Linked DNA regions of Caenorhabditis elegans. The protein of the gene in region 2 interacts with the protein of the main gene of each other region in a pairwise test. Each region holds a gene or a part of one and is shown on either strand. Other genes may lie near its edges. The genes, in order: zyx-1 and glh-3.

What was found.
Region 1: the proteins of glh-3 (region 2) and zyx-1 interact in a two-hybrid assay, tested with the Caenorhabditis elegans proteins (one study listed by BioGRID).

The regions. Positions count from the first base shown.
Region 1 is NC_003280.10:13,055,367-13,060,434, reverse strand, and holds the start of zyx-1 (Zyxin), read right to left. Parts: upstream 3,284-5,068; coding exon 3,239-3,283; intron 1,637-3,238; exon of another isoform or gene 1,616-1,636; intron 1,239-1,615; coding exon 954-1,238; intron 879-953; coding exon 795-878; intron 749-794; coding exon 408-748; intron 379-407; exon of another isoform or gene 1-378. Other genes in the region: azyx-1 (Alternative N-terminal open reading frame of ZYX-1), read right to left, coding at 806-878, 954-1,238, 3,239-3,340, 3,427-3,467. UniProt on the Caenorhabditis elegans protein: Functions both as a mechanical stabilizer (via LIM domains) of focal adhesions, and as a sensor component for muscle cell damage (via N-terminus).
Region 2 is NC_003279.8:5,791,692-5,797,084, forward strand, and holds glh-3 (ATP-dependent RNA helicase glh-3), read right to left. Parts: upstream 3,424-5,393; 5' UTR 3,351-3,423; coding exon 3,266-3,350; intron 3,219-3,265; coding exon 2,865-3,218; intron 2,754-2,864; coding exon 1,521-2,753; intron 1,476-1,520; coding exon 1,372-1,475; intron 1,326-1,371; coding exon 1,144-1,325; intron 1,095-1,143; coding exon 890-1,094; 3' UTR 630-889; downstream 1-629. Other genes in the region: cpb-3 (Cytoplasmic polyadenylation element-binding protein 3), read right to left, coding at 1-32; mtk-1 (Protein kinase domain-containing protein), read right to left, coding at 3,873-3,956, 3,999-4,154, 4,231-4,859, 4,907-5,030, 5,187-5,393. UniProt on the Caenorhabditis elegans protein: Probable ATP-binding RNA helicase.

The DNA.
Region 1 (5,068 bases), on a different chromosome or scaffold from region 2:
TAGGTTCTGGCACATCCTATGGAATTCAGTCTGTATCTATAAAATATCAGCCGCTACCCGCAAGATGTCGGCTGCTTCTCATAAGGCTTCAAACAATGCCAGTGAAGTGTCGGCTATTACTCAATCGAGGTAGACTAAAACCCAGTCGGCCAACACACAGATATTGGCCTAAGAACCATTCGGTCGCTGTACATGCAATGCTAGCCGCAACTCACGAGGTGTCGGCCGCTAACTGTAAGGTGTCGAGCGCATCTCACAAGTTGTCAAAAGATACCCGTTAAATGTCAGCCTCTTGGCCAAATACCTGTGAGGTGTCGGCTGGTACCTATGAGGTGTCGGCCGCTATACATAAAATGTCGGGCGCTAACCATAAAGTGTTAATTTTCCAACAACTAAAAAATAATTACCTTGGATCGTAGGGCTCCGACCACTGAAGAACCGTCTCCTTATTGCCATATTTATTCGAATTATTGTTCTCGTTTAAGCTATTGCTTGATGTTGTGGTGGTTGCCGTAGTTGCCGTGTTATTAAAATAATCGTCGTCCTTGTGATAGCTTCGGAAGTTTGTAGGATATGAGTGTTTAGAAGAATATGGAGACACATAAGTTGCCTCACTATTACTATTACCAAATGATGGAGGCGACGGGGACTTGTTTGCGTATTGAGTTAGAGTGGATGATGAGAATTTATTGATTGGGCTATAGTTTGAAGTTGGGGAAGTACTTGATAGAAGAGCCTCTCGGGATTGCTGGAAAGTTTTTGATTTTTTTATGAGGACCGATGGAATGTAGTACCTGGAATTGGCTTAACGCATTGGGGTCTCGATGAAAGTCGCCGAGCGGACGAGGTTGGTTGGAATAAGTGGGCGGAGAAGGAATCTGAAAATTATCAGAATTTTAATGACGCATCAGCCCGGGAGTTGTCGGCTGCAACCTCTCTAAAAACCCTCTCACCTCTGCTCTGGTTTTCGGCTGAGCCAATTGTTGGAGGTTCGCGCGATACGTCCGATCTCCGTCAGGCAATTGTTGATGCGGTCGGTCCAATCGTCCATCGGATAGATTCTCGACGTCACCTCGAACCGGTTCGTTGTAGCCGGTCTTACGCAGACGTGCTGCGGCGTGCTGTAGTGCCGAAGCGTCCACTGTGGGACGGGACGGCTTGGGCGGCGCAGGTGCGGGATGGTTGTTACGTCGTGGTGCATCCTCTGTCTTCCATTTGCGAGATGGTAGTATCTCTCCCTAGAAGTTAATTTCTTACTTTTGGAAGTAAATAGTTATATAAGATCATATCACATTTCATATTTTAGTTTCACCCGACTACATTACTTTGAAACGCTATATCTTGGTTCTTTTTCAAGATACCAATAATTGTCAAACTAAAAAATGTAGAAAAAGAACTAAAAAACATTTTGACAGTTGACAATTTTTGAGTAGAGCAAACGACAACTGAGTTATAGGCTCTCAAAGTTGTAAAATTTTTCAAACTAACCAAATCTGCCAAATTTGAGGAAAACAATTTTTTTAATTAAAGGTCGGTAGATTTTTTGCTTTAAATGACAGAATACTGTCCTAATATACCGATTATAACTGTTTAAAATTTAAAAAAAATTTTAATTTTTCATTCACGCCCAAACTAATTGGGTTTTTCTTTATTTTTTTTCTTTATTTTATAATTTGAAACATATTTAATTTTCCAATTTTTCAGAAATTTTTCCGTAAAGAAAACTATATAATTGCAAAGAAAATTGCCAAAACTCTGAAATTGGATTAAACTTTGAAATTGGCCAAAATGGAGACTAATATAGCGGGAAAACACAAATACCGTATTTCTTCTATTAATATAGCTGCAATACTATTTTTCGATGGTCTTCCCGCTTGCAATACTAATAGGGAGTGCAAGACTATTAGGGAGTGCAATACTAATTTTCAGAACATTTTCTGACTTTGAGCTTACTAGTTTTTTCCTGAAAAAGCTCGAATCATATGTAAAAATTCTGAAAATTTGATTTTCATATAATTTCAAAAACTTCAATCTCGTAGAAATGATGTGAAAACTGTTGCAAAATAGGCAAAAATGTTGTTGAAATCCTGAAATTAGCGAGACGGGTTTGCAATACAAAAAAGTTAACGCAAGACTATTAGAGAGTGCAAGACTAATAGGGAGTGCAATACTAATTTTCGGAAGGTCTCCGAGGGGCAATACTAATAGGGAGTGCAAGTCTAATAGGGAGGCCATATTAATAGAAGATATACGGTATGTCGAAAATGACGTCACTCAGTTGCGCGGGAATTTAAATTTCATTCGGCCCTTTTTATTATTTTTGCAAAATTTTAAAAAAATCATAAAAAATTTACAAAAATTTTATAATTTTTTTTACTGTTATGTATGGTATATTGGGGATGTATTCTGTCATTTTTTTCTTTATTTTTCGAAAAAACCCTCATTTCCGCTGGATAAAAAAAATTTGCCACTACGATTATGGTTAGCAATAATTTATGGTTTTTCAAGTGATTAATGAGAATAATTAAATGCCCAGGGGTGCTAGAAGGAGCACATAAATTACCGTATGCAAATCGTTTACCTTCATATGCAAAATGTGCTTTGAATTAATAGAAAGGGTATTGTCTAGAGCGTGGGAAGTGAAATAGAATTCAGAACGACTCTAAGAGCCGGCAGTTCAGAAATAAATTAACGATAATTAAACCCATCTGCCTCCAAAAAGCCAAGATTTTAAATTTTGAAATGTCTATTTCCACGTGATGTCAGGATGTCTCATTACAGTTTGATCTACAAAAATGCGGGAATTTTTTGTTCGGAAAAATTGTGATCTACAAAAAATGCGGGAATTTTTTGTTCGGAAAAATTGTGATCTACAAAAAATGCGGGATTTTTTGTTCGGAAAAATTGTGATCTACAAAAAATGCGGGAATTTTTTGTTCGGAAAAATTGTGATCTACAAAAAATTCGGGAATTTTTTCAGAAAAATTGTGACGTCAGCAAGATCTGCGAAATCAGATGAGATGTCTGCGTCTCAACTCCCGCACTTTTTGAAGATCAAATCGAAATAAGAAATTCTGACAATCCCTGAGCTTTTGGGGGTTTTATCGAGCTACCGTAATGGATAACATACATAATTTTTAAACCTCTCTCCCACGCCATTGATTTTTTTTCAAACTTTTGGCCTAAAAAAATTTCAGAACATTTTCCAATTTTCTTTTGCAATTTCAGTTCAACTTACGGATGGGAGTAGAGGGGGTGGTGGAGGCGGAGGCGGGGGTCCCATAGATCAGTAGCGGATGCCGAGTCTGGAATAGTGCTGAAGGAGCGAGCACGACCCAAGCTGAAAGACACATATGTTGGAGGTCAGGACACAGAGCAAACAATTTAACACAACAAAAACATGAAGAAATGAAAAAAAAACGATACCTTTGACTAGGATAATGAGGAAGTGGTGAGAGGTAACTCATATTAGGATGTGCGACCTGGATGGATAGAGAATGTCTGGAGAGCGCGCCTCGGTGTGGTGTTTAGTATGTTTAGAGTCTTGGGGGCTCCGACGGACCCCGAGGAGCTGCATGCCACAGGAACCCCGGGCGAACCGCGTCGGCGTCTCTTCACATCCTTACGACTCTCTCGCTTCATCCCGGCAGGAGCCCATTTTACACTTTGGCTCACAAAATTCGACTGATGGCAGGAAAAATAGAGAGGATATGGGAGGGGGGGGGGGGAGATTACAAAAAAAGGAAAGCGAAAACGAGGGATAAGCGATGAACAAAGAGGAAAAGAGATAAGCAACAACATCTGCTATTGGAAGATGATATCAAAAATTTCGTGTGAAATCCACGTGGCAGACAGGAAATTGGTGGCTGATAATTTATAGGGGAGAGGGACCGGCAATATTTAAGTTATGGTTGGAGATTATACAAAAACCTAGAGTTCACAGCGTGGCCTAGAAAATCTAAAACTCATTATTTATATTTTAGCAATTTGATCTTAAATAGATCATTTAGAGTTCGAGGAAATTACCCTATGTGTGTTAGCGGCCGAGTTTTCTCATTTTCGCGGCCACGTATATTTTTCTCGGGTTCTAGGCCATGACTTTCGGCTCAACCTAATCGTTTTATATTTCAGATTTTTTTTTTAAATTGCTATTTGAAAGCACAGATTTAGATCAAGCACAAATTTGTGATGTGGCCTAGAAAACAGATAACTCGGCCATCAATTAAATTTTTCAAAAAGTTTTCCAGATTGAATCTATAAGGTGTCGTCTACATACAATTCGAGAAAAAAAATGTTTGTAGCGTAGCCGAGTTTTCTTATTTTTTCGGCCACGAATATTTTTGTGACGTCATATTTTCAAGTGGGCCTTGTCGGGTTCTAGGACATCACATTCGGTTTGAATTTTTTTTTTCAAATCCGAAATTTGCCTAATTTTATTCTGGAGCACTTTTTTTATACGAAAATTGAAGTTTAATCTTTCTAACCCAAAACTGTCCGTCATTTGTGGCTTGGCCTAGAAAAAAACGGGAAAACTGGGCCATCAACATATATTTTCTTTATTGCTAGAGATGATCTTAAAATAGCCTTTTACAGTTAATGAAAAGACCCCTTTTCATCCTTTTTATAATTAATTGTTTTGTGGCCGATCTTTCCCATTTTAAAGCCAATATTAACTTCGATTTATGTGATTCTAGACCATTCTAAAAAATTAAAATTTTGAGAACTTTGAAGTTTTTAACTTCAAAGAATTTTTGTATTCAAAAAAGTCTTCCAACCCCAAAAAAAACTGTCATCTTTGAAGCACAGAACGCCATGCAAACAACGATAAAACATTGGAAGAGCGGAAAGAAGAAAAAAACCGACGCGAAAAAAAGTCTGTGGTTTTATGGATGGTATAGTTGTGCCCAACCCTCTCTTCTTCTCTTTTCACAGGAATTTTATGGGCGGTTTCGTGGGCGCAATCATGATCATTCCCTAATATTTTTTTTTTTCTACAGAAAAAAAATATTTTAAGAAAAAAAACTTTTGGCTGGAATTCGTGAGAAACAAAAATTGAAACAAAAAACAG
Region 2 (5,393 bases):
CCGATGCCTTCCACTCGGTCATTCAGGTTCATGGTGAATGCTTTTATCAACGGCAGCAAGTCTGAAAATTAGAAATGTTCCCTTGAGTTCAAGAGCGAAAGTAATTATGCTCAGGCGAAAGTTATTAACTACAGGTTCTTCAAACTTGTTTTTAACGAAAACATTTTCAAACTCAAATTGGAAGAAAGAATTTTCCCTAAAACAACACGGACAGAATAAAAAACTGACAAAACATTTCTAAAAACTGATTTTAAAATTTTGGGATTTTCGAAATTAAAGCATTTTGAAATTTGAATTTGCTTAGTGTATGCACACAAAACATGATGAACGACGCGATGTTACACAGAACATGTGCTACAGTAATTCTTTCGTAAAATTCAAATTGACTTAATTTAATTTTTATATACATAAGATTTTAATATTATAAGATGAATGAGATTTAATTATTTGAATTGATTGAATTTAAATATTAAAATTCATTAAAAAACACGTTCTCAGCGTTCACTATTATCAAATTTATGAGTCACGAATAAACAGATGACCAGTTATTATCGAGTGGGCATCGTGCCAAGACAACTGAGAAGTTAAAAAAAACTGATAGTGAGTCCATCTGAAAAGATTTTGAAAGCTTTAATTAAAACAAAAATTTATCAGATTTACGAGACATTGATTGAATACTGATCTGAATTTATAAACATTCCAACTATTGAAAACAAAAATGAACATATAAACCTAACAACAAAAAATATATTTTAAAAATTCGGGAAATTTAAAGTTGAAATGCCAAGACGATCAGATATTTTGGGGAATAAAAGGGGGCTGAACATTATCAGAAAAATAATACGTCAAGATTGATATTTTGCAGAAATTAAATTTAGAATACATTGCTTCACCAAGCTTCCTCCGGTTCCTCGGTATCAATAGATTTTTCGAATTTATTAGGATTGGAGGTCCCTCCTGCAGCTTCCTTCATCCAGCTTGGCACAACTTGTTCGGCGTCAGCTAGAGTTCGCACCAACTGCGGCAGAATTTGAACATCGTCTGCCAATGATATGAAGCTAGTTGCTCTTCCCGAGTTTCCGACTCGTCCAGTTCTGAAAAACGGTAATTACAAAAAATAAAACATTTCAGGAAATAACCAACCGGCCAATTCGATGGATATAATCATCAATGTTATTTGGCATGTCGTAGTTAATAACATGATCTACACCTTTAATGTCAAGACCACGCTCAACAACAGCCGTGGCGATGAGCACTGGCTTAGCTCCACTTCGGAACAATTTCAAAGCAGCCGACCGTTCTTTTTGCTCGCGAGCACCGTGAATCTATAAAAAAGAAGAATGGAAATACACTACTAATATACAAACGAACTGTAATCGCTGGAACTTGGGCTGCCGACATGATACTGGCCAGAGTGTCTGCCATTTTTTGTTGAGCAACGAATACAATCGTTTTCTTCACAAAGACATCAGAATCTAAAAACATATATGACGATATTGAAAAGTGAAAGTAAAACAAACTTTTCTCGGTGGTGTAGGTGTCAATATCGATACCGAGAAGCTTCAAAAGCTTATCCACTTTTGATGTTCTATCGCACAACTCGAACTCTTGAATGACACATTTGTTGGCGGCTCCAATTTTATCGATTGTAATCATTGTGTAGTCTTCACGCAACAATTTACGAGCAGCTTCTTGGACGCTGCTGGGAAATGTGGCACTGAACATCATTGTTTGTCGTTTATCATTTTTGGGCATATTCTTATAGTTGATAATTTGCTCAATTTCTGGTCCGAATCCCATTGAATCAATCATTCGATCTGCTTCATCTAGGACCAGGTATCGACACTTATCGAGTTTTATAGCGCCATCTTCACAAAAATGTTTAACACGTCCAATTGTTCCAACAATGATAGTACATCCTTTCATAATCTGGCTCTTATTGTATCCTACATTTATTCCGCCATAGACTGGTTTGATTTCCATAACAGATTGATAGGAAAACTTTCTGCCCTCGTTGTAAATTTGATCAGCAAGCTCTCGAGTTGGTGTAAGAATAATGCATCGTGGATAGCAACCTCCTTCTGCTCCATAATTCAAATCCTTTTCCAAAATTAGACGAGACATAATCGGCAAAAGAAATGCTGCAGTTTTGCCCGATCCAGTCTGAGCACAAGCAAGGATATCTTTGCCATCAGCAACAAGTGGAAGTGTATATTGTTGAATCGGAGTTGTTCGGGTATAACCTGCTCTCTCCACGTTTCTTCTCATACTTTGAGGAATATCGGAATCGGAAAAACTTTTACATGGTTGAATGGTGACCGGCTGTCCACGTGACACAAGTTGAACGCTAGCGTCAAAGAACTTGTCAAAGAAATCTCCAGCGTTAATCTTCAACATGCTAAATACCTCCTCCATCTTGTCCACGACTGGCACATAGGTGACCTTTGTCGGCTCTTGAACTCCGTTTTTCGACCAGCTTGCGCACTCATTTGCACGATGATTCGGATCACCACAATTAGCACATTCACGTTGTGGGGCGGAGCATTCTGTTGCACGATGTCCATACTTCTTGCAATTGAAACATGTATTGCTGATTCCAAAACCTTTTGCTTCAAGGATTGGAGAGGTACCGCAGAATTCATCGCTTCTTTTGTTTCCATAGCTTGAAACACCACCGGAATCTCTGTCACGTTCCTCATCTTTTGCCGAACAGTTTTCAGTTGATACTTGATCATCAGAACGGTGGATGCTCCCTGAAAAAAGTTTGAGAAATTGTCTATTATCTGTATTCGGTACTTAATTTCAAATAATTCTTCATACAAAGACCACACTTTTACCAGATAGTAAATTCCTGCCAAACTTACCTTCATTTTCTTTGACATTCGAGGTTCTCTTGCTTCCACGAGTTACTGCTCGTGATCTAGAATTTAGAGATCTGCCCACGAGAAATCTCGGATTCATTATCCCAGGACATTCCAATTCCGTTGTAGATGGTGATCCATGCAAATTATTATTTGAGTGGAAAACATTATCAACTTTGTCATCGAAGCCAGAAAAAGAGCCCCCAATCTCGCTGCGCACGGCTATACGTTGATCTTCGGAAATTATTGTTGGTTTCGCTTCGAGTTCAGACATCCTACAGCTACGACGAGAAAATACTGATGATTGAACTCCAAAACTGCTGAGACCTCGATCATCTTTTTTAATGCATGAACTCGCTGAAAAATAAATGTTGGGAATTGGTAGTGATATTCAGAAAACCTACATTGTTCTGTAGTATCTACATCAGAAATTGGCTGGTGTCTAGCGAATTTGGTCCGGATACTTGTCTTTGTTGGGCTTTTATCCATTATTCCGTGCCGTTTAACTCTATTTTGACAACCAGAGTTAATCCCCCAGCCAGTATCGGAAGATTTCGTTTACCTGCAAAGAATATTTTGCGCGTAAAGTTGTTTTGTTTCCAAGAAACGATAAATAAGCATATAAATTAGTTTTTAAACACCAAATAAAAATAAACACTTAAGATTTGCAAAATTGTTTAAAAGAATGAAATTTCAAATTTGTTCCGGGGTTGCACAGAGAACAGCACGATTGACGAAAAATTGCACATAACATATTTTACAGTAGCCGGCTCTTTTCACATTCAGAAATTTTGGTCTTATGTCGATTCAAATCTAACAAACTAAACCTCCTGTTGTCGTTGGAAATATTTGTAAAATGAGTATTTATTGGCAATTTAAATTATTCTTATTAACTTTAATACAAAAATACAAAGTGAATTTCAGTTAGGTAGAGGTACATTTTTATCACGAAGATGAGATTACGGGTAGATTATTTTTATTATTAACAAAAAATACAGTATACAAAAACGTCTAGACTAGAAAAAACGAGCTTGGTGACGATTTGTCCTTTGAAGATTGTGATTGATAGTCCGGGATATGATTTTCGTCCTGAAACTTGCAAATTTACTAATTTTTCTATTTATTCTTGATAATTACCGTTATATTAACATTTGCAAACGTAGTTTGAAGAAGTTCCGCAGCTGTAGGCCGATCATTTGGAAGAAATTCAAAGCAATTATCGAAGAATCGTTTAACATCTGGTCTTTTGTCGGCAATATCAGGATAAGTTGGTTTTTGCTTGCGGAAGCAAAGCTGAAAGTTTACTTATTGATGGCAACAATTATTATCTTTAGACTCAACTATCTACATGTGTCTAGAATAAACATACCGCGAAGGCTATTTGATGACGAGTTTGTCCTTCGAATGGAACTTTTCCAGTCATCATATTGACTACGGTAGCTCCAAGTGCCCAAATGTCAACACTTCTACCGTAACCACTATAGCTTCCAGTTGTTTCATCCTTTTCCCCATATGAATAAATTTCTGGTGCCATGAATTGAGGAGTTCCGGCAGTTGTTTGAAACTCTCCGTATACTGTACTTGACTCGACAAGTCGCGAAGAACATCCGAAATCTCCTAATTTGAGTACGGTACACTTATCGAGGAATATGTTCGCTGGCTTTATATCACGATGAATGATTTTATGAGAGTGAAGATACTGTACAGCCCGCAACAAGCTATTCGTATATTGTCGAACCATTTTCAAATCCATTTTTCCGTGACAAATTCGTTCAAGTGTACCCTGTGAGCAATATTCCATGAATATGATGACGTCACTGTCTTCAACTTGAACACCATAATATTTGACAAGATTCTCATGAATTAATTGACGGAAAATGTTGATTTCCGATTCGATTGCTTTATGGTTTTCGCGTTGAATTCGCATGACTTTTGCTGCAATGACACGATGAGAATCAATATCCATTGCACGATGTACAGAACCAAAGCTTCCAGATGCTGAAAAATGATCATTTGATCATCAAATAAAATAGAGTTAAATCTACCAATATGATCAAGAAGTGCCCATTGAAATGGAGCTTTTGTAGTAATCTTTTTGTCTGTGGCAAGAACAAAGTTTCTTCTGTTATCGTCTGTAATAACTTTCCCGATTTGCAGGTTGTCGTAATCCTGAAAAAATAAAAGTTTAGAATAACCATGCAAGTAGCAAAACTAGCGGACTTCATTCCAAGAATAAAACTCCAGCTACATGATATAAATATAACATCACAATTGGAAAAGCATCAATAAAATGTATCTAAAACACAAAAAAAACGAAAAACGTACAATTCTATTTCTCTTATCTTCAAGTTCTTGTAATTTCAACATTTGATTCTCTTTTCTAGTTCTTTTGTGATTTTCCATCGATGATGATGACGTTTTTGAACTTGTCGATCGTGTGTTTCTTTGCATTGGTGTTCCTGTGTTGCCTGGAGTTCCTATGTTGGATGATGACTTTATGACCTTTGCTTCAAATAATTTGACAAGATCATT